2 linked regions of the Arabidopsis thaliana genome follow. The protein of the gene in region 1 interacts with the protein of each later gene in a pairwise test. Each region holds a gene or a part of one and is shown on either strand. Other genes may lie near its edges.

The links. Proteins that work in one complex are often made in the same cells at the same time.
Region 2: the proteins of AT3G04840 (region 1) and NDL1 interact in a two-hybrid assay, tested with the Arabidopsis thaliana proteins (one large-scale study listed by BioGRID).

Annotation. Positions count from the first base shown.
Region 1 is NC_003074.8:1,327,818-1,332,190, reverse strand, and holds AT3G04840 (Ribosomal protein S3Ae), read right to left. Parts: upstream 2,621-4,373; 5' UTR 2,441-2,620; coding exon 2,430-2,440; intron 2,334-2,429; coding exon 2,286-2,333; intron 2,153-2,285; coding exon 2,047-2,152; intron 1,808-2,046; coding exon 1,670-1,807; intron 1,561-1,669; coding exon 1,375-1,560; intron 1,159-1,374; coding exon 958-1,158; intron 872-957; coding exon 773-871; 3' UTR 549-772; downstream 1-548. Other genes in the region: AT3G04830 (Protein prenylyltransferase superfamily protein), read right to left, coding at 3,059-3,232, 3,323-3,436, 3,845-3,926, 4,054-4,113, 4,213-4,298.
Region 2 is NC_003076.8:22,955,643-22,961,464, reverse strand, and holds NDL1 (N-MYC downregulated-like 1), read right to left. Parts: upstream 3,837-5,822; 5' UTR 3,480-3,836; coding exon 3,420-3,479; intron 2,957-3,419; exon of another isoform or gene 2,659-2,956; coding exon of another isoform or gene 2,656-2,658; intron 2,575-2,655; coding exon 2,475-2,574; intron 2,401-2,474; coding exon 2,303-2,400; intron 2,213-2,302; coding exon 2,124-2,212; intron 2,040-2,123; coding exon 1,979-2,039; intron 1,888-1,978; coding exon 1,723-1,887; intron 1,631-1,722; coding exon 1,574-1,630; intron 1,477-1,573; coding exon 1,421-1,476; intron 1,310-1,420; coding exon 1,174-1,309; intron 1,078-1,173; coding exon 859-1,077; 3' UTR 549-858; downstream 1-548. UniProt on the Arabidopsis thaliana protein: Interacts with the heterotrimeric G protein beta subunit GB1 and plays an significant role in GB1-dependent regulation of lateral root formation. Involved in a signaling pathway that modulates root auxin transport and auxin gradients.

The DNA.
Region 1 (4,373 bases):
AAAACCACCGTATGAAAGCTCTGTGTCTGCTGTTGCTCGAATGGGTTTTGTTTGATCTACCTTAATCTCACTTTCATCTTGTTATTTCCAAGTCTAGTTTTGGTGGGTATATATTACAAATATATGTATTGGAAGATTTTTGCTTAGGGTGTGAATGTGTGTTACCTGTTTTGCTCTGCTAGTTTATAATGTTTTAGTGTTTGTTTTTCACTGAAGAAAGTTTTGTAGTGGTGTTGTTTGTCTCCTTCCTCTGCTCCGATTTTGTTCTCTCTTGGTTGCTAACTCATTCTTTCAAACAAACTCCACAAATCAGATTCTTGATATTACGGAAAGGAGTATTATTAACAAAATCATTAGAAAAAGTTATGTATTATTCAATTGAAACTACAATGAATAAAGTCTGATACATTTTTCCAAGATTGAATAAAACTTAGTTTTGAACGAAGTTTATCGTTTAAACTGTGTTAACTGGGGCTTGTAAATTCACAAAATGTTTATAAAGATGGCTTAAGTGTTTATAACGCAACACAATTAAATAAACTAAAGTTTAGTGTACATAAAAAGACTTTTTGTGGCCTATGAAATTTGTTTTTCTTAATGAGGAACTGAATCAAATTTAGAGAAAAGGTGTTCCATAAATTATCAAAAACTCGCAAGTTTACACTGAGAAAAGTCATCAATACAGCAAAATTAAACCGGGAACAAAAGAGTGTGTGAAACGACAGAGCATCAAAAAGCTAAAGTTTAGAAGAAAAAGACATCTCTCGATTTCTTAAGCTCCGATGATTTCAGTAGGTTCCTCAACAGCCATCTCATCAGCCGGCCTGTCTACCTTAACACCAACATCTTCTGCTGAGTAATCTCCGTGAACCTACACCAATTAAACACAAGCATTCAGTTTATATATAACATGGATATTGAACCATAATAAATGTAGTGTTCATTTTCTTCACTCACATCCATGAGCTTGCCAAGGTCGAATTTAGGGGCCTTGAGGATCTTGACTTTACGGATGAAAACATTCTGAAGAGGGTAGATGCCCTGAGTTGCCTTCTCAATCTCCCTGCCAATAGCTTCAGGAATGAACTTAGCAACAAGATCCTTAAGGTCACATGAGGAAGCTTCCCTAACCATGATGTCCCTCATCTTCCTGCGGATCTGAGGAATTCACAACAAAGACATGTGAATTTTTAAGACTTACAATTTGAGAGAAATCAAACAAGGAAGATTAAGAATCATTGACAAAAGGAACCATCTGAGCTCAACAGAAATAACAGATCAAAGATTGCAAAAGTAGGATTCAGTAATAAGAGAAAGAGATCAAGTTCTGTAGTCAGGCCTAACTACAAGTATTGCAGGGGAATGTGTGCGTACCTGACGGATTTGGCTGGATTGAGCGTAGCAAGTCCTCTTGACCTGGTTAGCACGTCTCTTGGTGAAGGCGATACAGAATAGCCTGAGAGTGTAACTGTCGGTGGTTTTAACATCAACATGAGCCTCAATCAAAGTCTGCCACTTCTTAACCAATGACCTAAGTTTATCGGTGGTGAAGTCCATGCCCTAAAGATGATTAAAAAAAACAGTCAAGCTCCACAACCATAATCTGGGTTTTTTAACCAATGACCAGAATTACTGATGTAAATCAATGTTTACAACAAACTATCCTTACCCAGAATTGGCACAGAACGTTCCTGCCCTGGACATCTTCAGCTCTGAGACGGATCTTCCTGTAAGCGTTATCCTCATCACCTTGAAGATCAGCAAGAGAAACCTCAAAAACTCTGTGTTTCAAGCCTTCTGAGGCAATCTGGAAGAGTAAGAACAGACATCATCATCAGTCTCAAAGTCCGTACATGGCACCAATACAACATTTTACACTCAACATGTATAAGAAAATGAATAGTAACATTATAACACAAGATACACAACTGTAACAATCAATCAAGAACCATAAGAATCAGACAAATCAGCTTAATCCTACGAAGAGTATAAGCAGCGAAGTAATTTGAGGATGTATTGTAATAAAGAGAGAGACAGAAACATTACTTTGGTACCCTGAGTTCTGGAAACAAGTGTCTTTCCAACATTCCTGTGAGTGAAGATTGAAGGAGCCTTAACATCATACCAATCTTTCTTGGAGAAAGGATCAACACTGCAACATTCAATTTTCAAAAACAACCAATCAATCACAAATGATAAGATTCATATTCTCATACTTCAACATGGCCACTAATTCATACACATTGTTAAGGAAAACAAGAGAAATAAGATTCAGAAAAACTTACGCCTTCTTCTTTCCTCCCTTCCTACCCTTAGAGATTCTCTTGTTTTTCCTACAGTAAACAAACTCATAGATCAGTGACAAATACTTTAATGATACGAATCAGAGATAGTAGAAATGAGAGGACAATAATCTGAGAGAAAAGTACCCGACGGCCATGGCTGAGGAAAATAGGTCGACGACGAATAGAGAAGAATCAACAATAAGTTTTAACCTAAAATGCTGCTACGGCGCTTCTTCAATTTAAAGTCTTCTTCTAGGGTTTGAGTTTCACACCCAGGATAAACAAAGTTTTGGGCCTTCAAATTTACCAGTAATGGACTAAGCCTAAAGTTGTATTTACTTGCATCTAATGGCCCACTAAGGTGTCCAATATTTCTTTTTTCCACTTGAGTCTGAAATCGATTATAAAACCATACTATATATATGTGAAAAGAAATTAAAAAACAAATACCATACATGATTTTAGGATATGAGAAGTTGTATTTTATGAATTAGTGAAAAATATAGATATTTATTTAATTGTTAGATAAATTGCATGATTTGCTAAAACTTCACAAATTTATTATTAACGTTTAACGTTTAGATTGAATTAGTTTAATTTATTATTTGATTAAACACACCTTAGTAAACCGTATCAGTGATTCAACAATATAGCCAAGTGAATAAGAAAAAAATTATAAGGGTAAAAGAAAAGGAATGAACAAAAGTCTGACTGTAAAAAAGTTTAAACAATACCAAAATACCAAAAAATTGTTTGGGCTCTAGTGCTTTGAACTAAGCGATTTTCAAGTTTCTCAAGGCAGAAGTGAGGAGGTTGAGCTTAGCGGGAGCTTTTTGCTTGTACTCTCGCTCCAATGCAGTTGCAGCCAAAGACTGAAGCTCTGGTGCAGCCATGTCCTTGTCCTCTTTGTTCCTGCCTTTTGAGATCTGTGCGATTGCTGATCCACACTGATTTCAAAAACAGAACATGTATCGGTCATTTTGTCACTTGCATAACCAAAGTGGATTAAACTGGTGTGAGGAAGAAAGGGTTCATACCAAGCATATTCCGAGAAGTGCTCTTGTGCTTTTACCACCTGTCAAGTCTATAGTTGCTGCATAGTACTTTCTTGCTGCGATGAGGTTTTCTAGTCCACCTATTGTGTAGAGAACCTGATTTTGGCGATTGCAACGCAAAATGAAAATTACGTTAATTACACAATCATACATGATCAATGCTGTAGTTTAGAGTTTCGAACTATATAAAAAAAAAACTGCCAAACTTTTAGAATTCTCAGTTTTGAGTTTGATATGTGCAGTGCAAATAATGCAAAGTTCCAGAAAATAGCTCGCTCTTCTATTGCTACTACATTAATAGACATATGAATGACAATGAACTTCCAGTGTAAGATATAAGGAACAACAAAATTGATTATAGGATGCATACTAGATACATTGTCTTAAACAAACTAAGACATTTTGATGCTCCTTGGTGATGGCCAAAATTTGACTTTTTTCTTTAACAAAGCCAGAGAACAATTTTTACTTTTTTTTAACAAATAAATAAAAGATGGGACTTACATCGGCATATGCTAAGTGGTACAATGGAAGAGTAGGCTGAGTTAGTATGAGCTCCTCGTAGCAGAAAGCTGCTTGCTTGTACCTGTTACAGATTATAAATTTAAAGGGGTTATAAAGAGAGCACCCTCAAAATGAAAAACATTTGTTAATCGTTGAGTAGTTAATTGTTTGTCAAATAGAATCTGAGGACAGAGGATAGAGAGACGCACATTTGCAAGGAAACATAAATTTCTGCAAGTTCTCTCCAGGCATCATGATCAGCCATGAATCTATATAAGAAAGAAGAGCATATAAAAGTTATCAGCTGTTTGATATATTTCTTCTAAAGTACTTTCTATCAGTCCAGCTTGGGGTTAGTAAGTACTCACACTTCAAGATACTTGTTCAGATGTTCAATGGCTAAGGAAGATTTGCCTTGTGCCTTGGCCATAGCCACCTTTCTTTTGTGAATTACCTAGACATCGAGTTTGACTTACAACAGTTAACATTTGGAAGTAGCTTGTGGGTAGTTTCATGACGAAAAAATGCG
Region 2 (5,822 bases), on another chromosome or scaffold:
AGTGAAAAACTTTCTGACCATTCGCTTATAGAGAGGTGCTGAGGTAAGTGAGCTTTGTTGTATTTGTAATTTACAAAACATCTTACGATGTTCAATACAAGAAATGGCCTTAATTTGATGTTATTATTCAATCATTAGTTATCCAAGAGTTTATACACTTCTTCTACTTTGTATTCGGGTTTGGCTCGGATTTACACTTGTCTGCATCCATTTTACGGGCTTGACAAACATCGAGGAGCATTGAACTTGTTCAGACTAAGTGAAGCATTCTTCGCCTTTACCCCGGTTCATGAGGGACTATGTTTTCGTCAACCGCAACTAATCCTTATGCGTATCTTATATCAGTATATAACTTACGGCTTCTGCAAAGAAGGATTGGTCTCCATTTCCATTTACAATTCAATTCAGACTAAAAAGTTTCAATCTGATGATCCAAATAGTTCAGGATCAAGACTGTTAAACCATTAAATATCAATATTAAGCAAAAACCAGATTCTAACTTGGTGAAATCAATGTGCTTGTAAGGCCAATTAGAGAACCAAAAACAAAATGCAAAATGAATTTTATTACTTGCTTCTGCAGAGTTCGTCACAAAACAATTGTTACAATGTCACAAGAACAGAACATTTTACATATGTATAAAAAAATGAAATAATAAACAACATTTTGTGGCATCTTAACAAGAGAACTGTCGTGTCGGCTGACTACAAAAGAATGTGTTATATGATGGTGGCTTGAATTTTTCTTCTTCGTCTTCTTCTTCTCAAATCTCCCTAGTATTGTTCTATATCTACAAAAGCCCTAAGATTTCTTCTCCTCAGCAAAATTAGAACCAATGAATCAGTAGTGCACACACACTTAAGCCGCCGAAATTCTGGTTTTGATAGGCTTAAGCTTTAATCCCATGCTTTCAGGAGAGAGAAGCTCAGGTGAAATACAAGAAGGGCTAAGTGGACTTCTAGGGCTCTCGGAGAAAAGAGATGGTCTGTATAATCCGTAACCCATCAAGAAATATTCCATTGGGATCAACATTGCATGTGGTTGCTCCTCTGTTACCATTGAACCACAAGCCTGAACCTGATAATATTTCCAAGAAAACATCTATTAGTAGCAAGAAAACCAAACATGTGTTTATATGTAAAGTACAAAGGATGAGGATTCGTTTTCTCAAACCTCAACCAAAGCACAGTATCCTCTATCCAAAGTTGCTGCCATGTGAACAGCTTCTGAGTAGAAAGGAGATTGATCTCCGATGAAGATAAGTGTCCTGCATTTTAGTTTCTTCAATCCACTTGAGATGTCAGGTCTCCTGCAAGAGCAAAGGTTTGGTTTGCATAAAGTTAAAGAAAAGTCAATATTTGACACCATGAATGAATGAATGCTTCTAAGGTAAAGGATTTCGAGGTGTTTGTTGTGTTACCGGTCAATGGCGTCAAGAAATCGCAAAACGTTTATGCCTTGTCTTTCATCAAGCAGCTGAGACAATCACCAAAAGTGCAAGGTGTGAATCACTGATACAGTAAAATCAATCTATTGATGAAACAGAAAAACAACAGAAGAGATAAACACTGACTCTTCTGCAAGCTTGTGCTATATCTGACTCTGGAATCTCAACGTTACCACGGACTTCCTGTAGCAAGCAGTTGCAACCGGTTTAAATAAGAGAAGTCTGGAAATGCAACAAGTGCAGAGAGAGAGCAATGGTAACTGCAGTGAACACACCTTACTAAAATATCTCTGAAGCAAAAATTCCTTTACCACTCCACACATTCCGTAATAATATAACAAGTTTGTGATAACCTTGTTGTAAAACCATTCAGACCAAGACGGCGCCTTGCATAACGGTGAGACAAGAATCAAACCAAGAACCCGTTCTCTATGTTTCATCTGAAAAGTTTTAAAACATAGAAGAGATGATAAACACAGTATTCTTCTGAAGCAATGGGCAATGAGAAGAGAAAAATAAATAGGAACATACCGCGAATAAGGTGAGGATATAAGCACCTGCAGTCACTCCCATACACATCACAACACCAAGGCTGAACAAAAAGCTTATACATTGTTACCCGAAAAACAAAAGTTGAGAACTTCAATAAGCCAAAAATAAGGGATTCCATCGTTACCCGAAAAAGTTGAGAACTTCAAGGATCTGATCTGCCAAGTTTTCAGCAGAAGGGACTGAATCATTAGGACAAATTGGAGCAGCTCCTAACTGCAAGAAAACAGAGAAGTCATGTGAGTAAGTAATCACGTCAAGCAAAGCATACGGCAAGTTAAAAAAAGAGAAACTAAAATATTGGACCTCATGCCCAGGTGGACTGATATGGTAAATGCAGAAGTTATGAAGCAGCAATGAAGCTGCTTCAGGACAGAAGAATAACCCTTGGAAGCATGACATATCTGAAGAAGAAACAACAAAAACATTAATAAATTTAGCCATTACATTAGTGCCTATAGAGATTCTTTAGCCTTACGGTTTAGGGCTAAATCAGGATAAGTAATCAATGCTGGCTTTTCTCTGTCTCCATAGACAATGACAGACACAACACCACTAGCAGTTTTAACACGATGCTCCTGAACACAAGAAACCAACAAGTTATAACAAAAGTAACGGATCATGAAACCAACAGAAAAAAACTAAACTTTTAACCATACCATTTGTCTACTCCATATTCATAAAACATGTGTTTGTAAACAATGAATCTATTTTCTCGTTAGTAAATGTATACTAAAGATAGGAATATGACAACTGACTTTAGGTGGAAAAGAAATGCTTTGATTAACACACACACAAAAAAGAAAACATCTCTGTTAAAGCTTTTCCATGTGCAGCTTTACTACTTTTAAGGGCAAAAAAACAAAACCAAAAACTTGATCATCAACAACCAAAGAGAAATGGCCTAATTCTAATCATTGTGGTTTTTTTTTAATAAAAAGGGAATGACAGTTTAAAAAAGATGAGCTAATATGAGTCTTAATGAGATAATAAAGAAGCATTAGTCTTATTAAACAAAAGGTTAATGGTAGACAAAAACAGCTGGCATTTTCTTTTCTTTTTTCTATAAGATAAAAAAATCAAAAGGCAATAAGACAAAGAATAAGGAATACAAAATAATAATAAGAAGAAGATATCTTTGAATAGAGAGAAGAAGAAGATCCCAAGAATAATCCCATCTGGAAATGAATCATAATAATAAAAGAAGTTTCACAAATCCACAAGCAAAGAATTTCTCCAAGAACATTTGATTCAAACAAAAGATGAGTCTTTTTTTTACAAAAACAAATGAATCTAACAATGCCCACATGTCTGTTCTTCCCCAAATCAACAGAAAGATTAGATTTAAGCAAGTTTAAGATAAACCCAGAAACAAAAATCAAAGCTTTATTCGGATCCGAGTTCAAAGGTTAAAGAATGAAACCTTGCCACCAAGATAGATTGTTCCAACGTCGACGGAGACGGCGCCGTAAGAGTCCGTCATTGGCAACAAAAGCTCTTCCGCTTAGCCGTCACCGTCGCCGTCGTTGTTTTAAGAACGCCGGGATAACAAGAGCTTCTTCTCTTTTCTTCTTCTTCTTCTCCCAACCTCTAGATTGTTTTTTGGCTTTTCTTTAGCTTATATACAAAGCGATGCCTTTTCTCTCTCCTCTCTCTTAAGACCTCTCTGGAAAAAGAAACGTTTTTTTTTCGTTTTCCTTTTTTTCTTCTCTTTCGTTTTACTCTCTCTATAAATTTTGCGGTGATTTCTCCATAGACGCCGGTAGTCGTAACATGACACGCGAACGGTCAAAAAACTTAAAATAAGAAACATTTTTAATTTGATTTATTTATAGAAACTTATTTTTGATAAATATTATTAACCAGCTCGAATTTCACCAATAACAGTCGAATACTAATTCGGAAAAATTGCTGTAAATAAATTGGATAATTGTATAAATGTAAACAAATATTAAATGTTGATAATTGGATAAGTAAGGGAGGTGCGAAGTTTTGGTTAACAACAAAATTAACATTAAGCAAACCGAATATAAATTTTTAGAGACTGTTTAGTTTTATTATTAAAAAAAAAAAGAGAAACCAAATTTTCTAAAAATACTATTACATATAAAAAATTATTTTTATGTAATAATATTAAGAACATCAATATTTAATAAACAATTGTATATTTATACTATTCGCAATTTTTTCACTTTGAGTTGGAAAAAATATATCTTAGTAGAAAATTAGAAATGGACTAATCTTAAACCATCAGATAGGCTTTCAAACATATTCCTATCATAAGAAACATGATGAGTAACACCACTATCTATGATCCATGTATTTTGTGATAACACTTGTCTAGAGGACGTTAGAGAACATAGTAACCATAAAGTCGAAGGTGAGAAAGAGATATCATTGAAAGCAAAACTTTGAAGTGACCAAATCTGCTGAGTTAGCTGATAAGACCTTGGCAAATTCGTAATGTGAAATCTAGTATCCAAGTCTTTCCAGATCTCTGCAGCATCATTGAAACGAAGTATACTCTTATAGATCTGCTTTGTAACAGAATTAAGGATCCTAGATTTAACCATACTGTTGCATCGTGACCACACTCTAAAGCTAGGATCAGATTCAGGAGGTCTTGGTAAAGTTCCATCAACAAAAGCAATCTTATTCTTAACGTTCAAAGAAACAAACATCGCAATCTTCCAAGAAGAGAAATTAGATCCATCAAGTACCTCAGAAACAAGTGTATTCCCAGGACTCACCATTTGAGAGCGCGAATGGCGAATAATGAGCATCCGAGAAGTCGAACTGTGGTAAAGGATAGATCGATGGTTTTGAATTGAAATTTTGTTGAAACGGATTCGAAATTGGTGGAATCGGTGGAATCGGTGAAGCTTGAACACGATCTGGAGTTTTCTCAGCTGAAGTTTTGCTCGATCTTCTAGTACGACGCCGCAATTTCTCTACGGAAACCATCGCAAGATCAACGAAGCTCTAAACAACTGAAATTTTCCAGAAAACGTAGAAAATTGAAGAAACAAAGAATCAACGAGTTTGGAAGATCCAAGAGCTCGAAGATACTCAGAGTTTAGGTTGAATCGGATGAATCTTCGAGATCCATCACTCTGATACCATAATAGTTGATGAACGAATTCAGAGAAATGAAGAAGATGAGAAAAATTTGTTATTCTTCTTAATTGTTCTGTTACATGAAACACTCTTTATATGTAGAGTGTTCCGGTTTAGTAACCGGTTTACATTGTACCAAACAACAATACAATAACCGAATTTATGGTTAATATCTTAAGTTAGACCTATTTCAAAACAAGCCTAATTTTCACAATAGTCAATTTTTTGTTGTTGAATATTTGGCCGAGAACTAGACTTCAATAATGGGGAAGAATAACTAAAATCGGTTCTTTCTCCTCTCCCAAAGTCAACTAGATTCACCAAGAATAACTAACTTTGGTTAATGATTACATGTTCTTAAAGTTATGGATCTTTTGGGAAAAATGGACTATTTGGCAAAAAGAGTGGCAAAAAGAGTGTGAACATAAAAAATACAAATGGGGCGTTCCGAGAATCGAACTCGGGACCTCTCGCACCCAAAGCGAGAATCATACCACTAGACCAAACGCCCTCATTTGATATTTCGTTAATTAGATAAATAATACCTAATAATACAAACTTGAATTGGTCTTGCATTTGGGCCGTTAACAGGCCTTGCTAAGTCATATGTGGTGTGTATTTCTCCATCTGCTATTGATCTCAGTAAAAATTACATAAAGAGAGCCACAAGCTTACTGACTCTCTTGTGTATCGCTCTCTCCGCATTTCC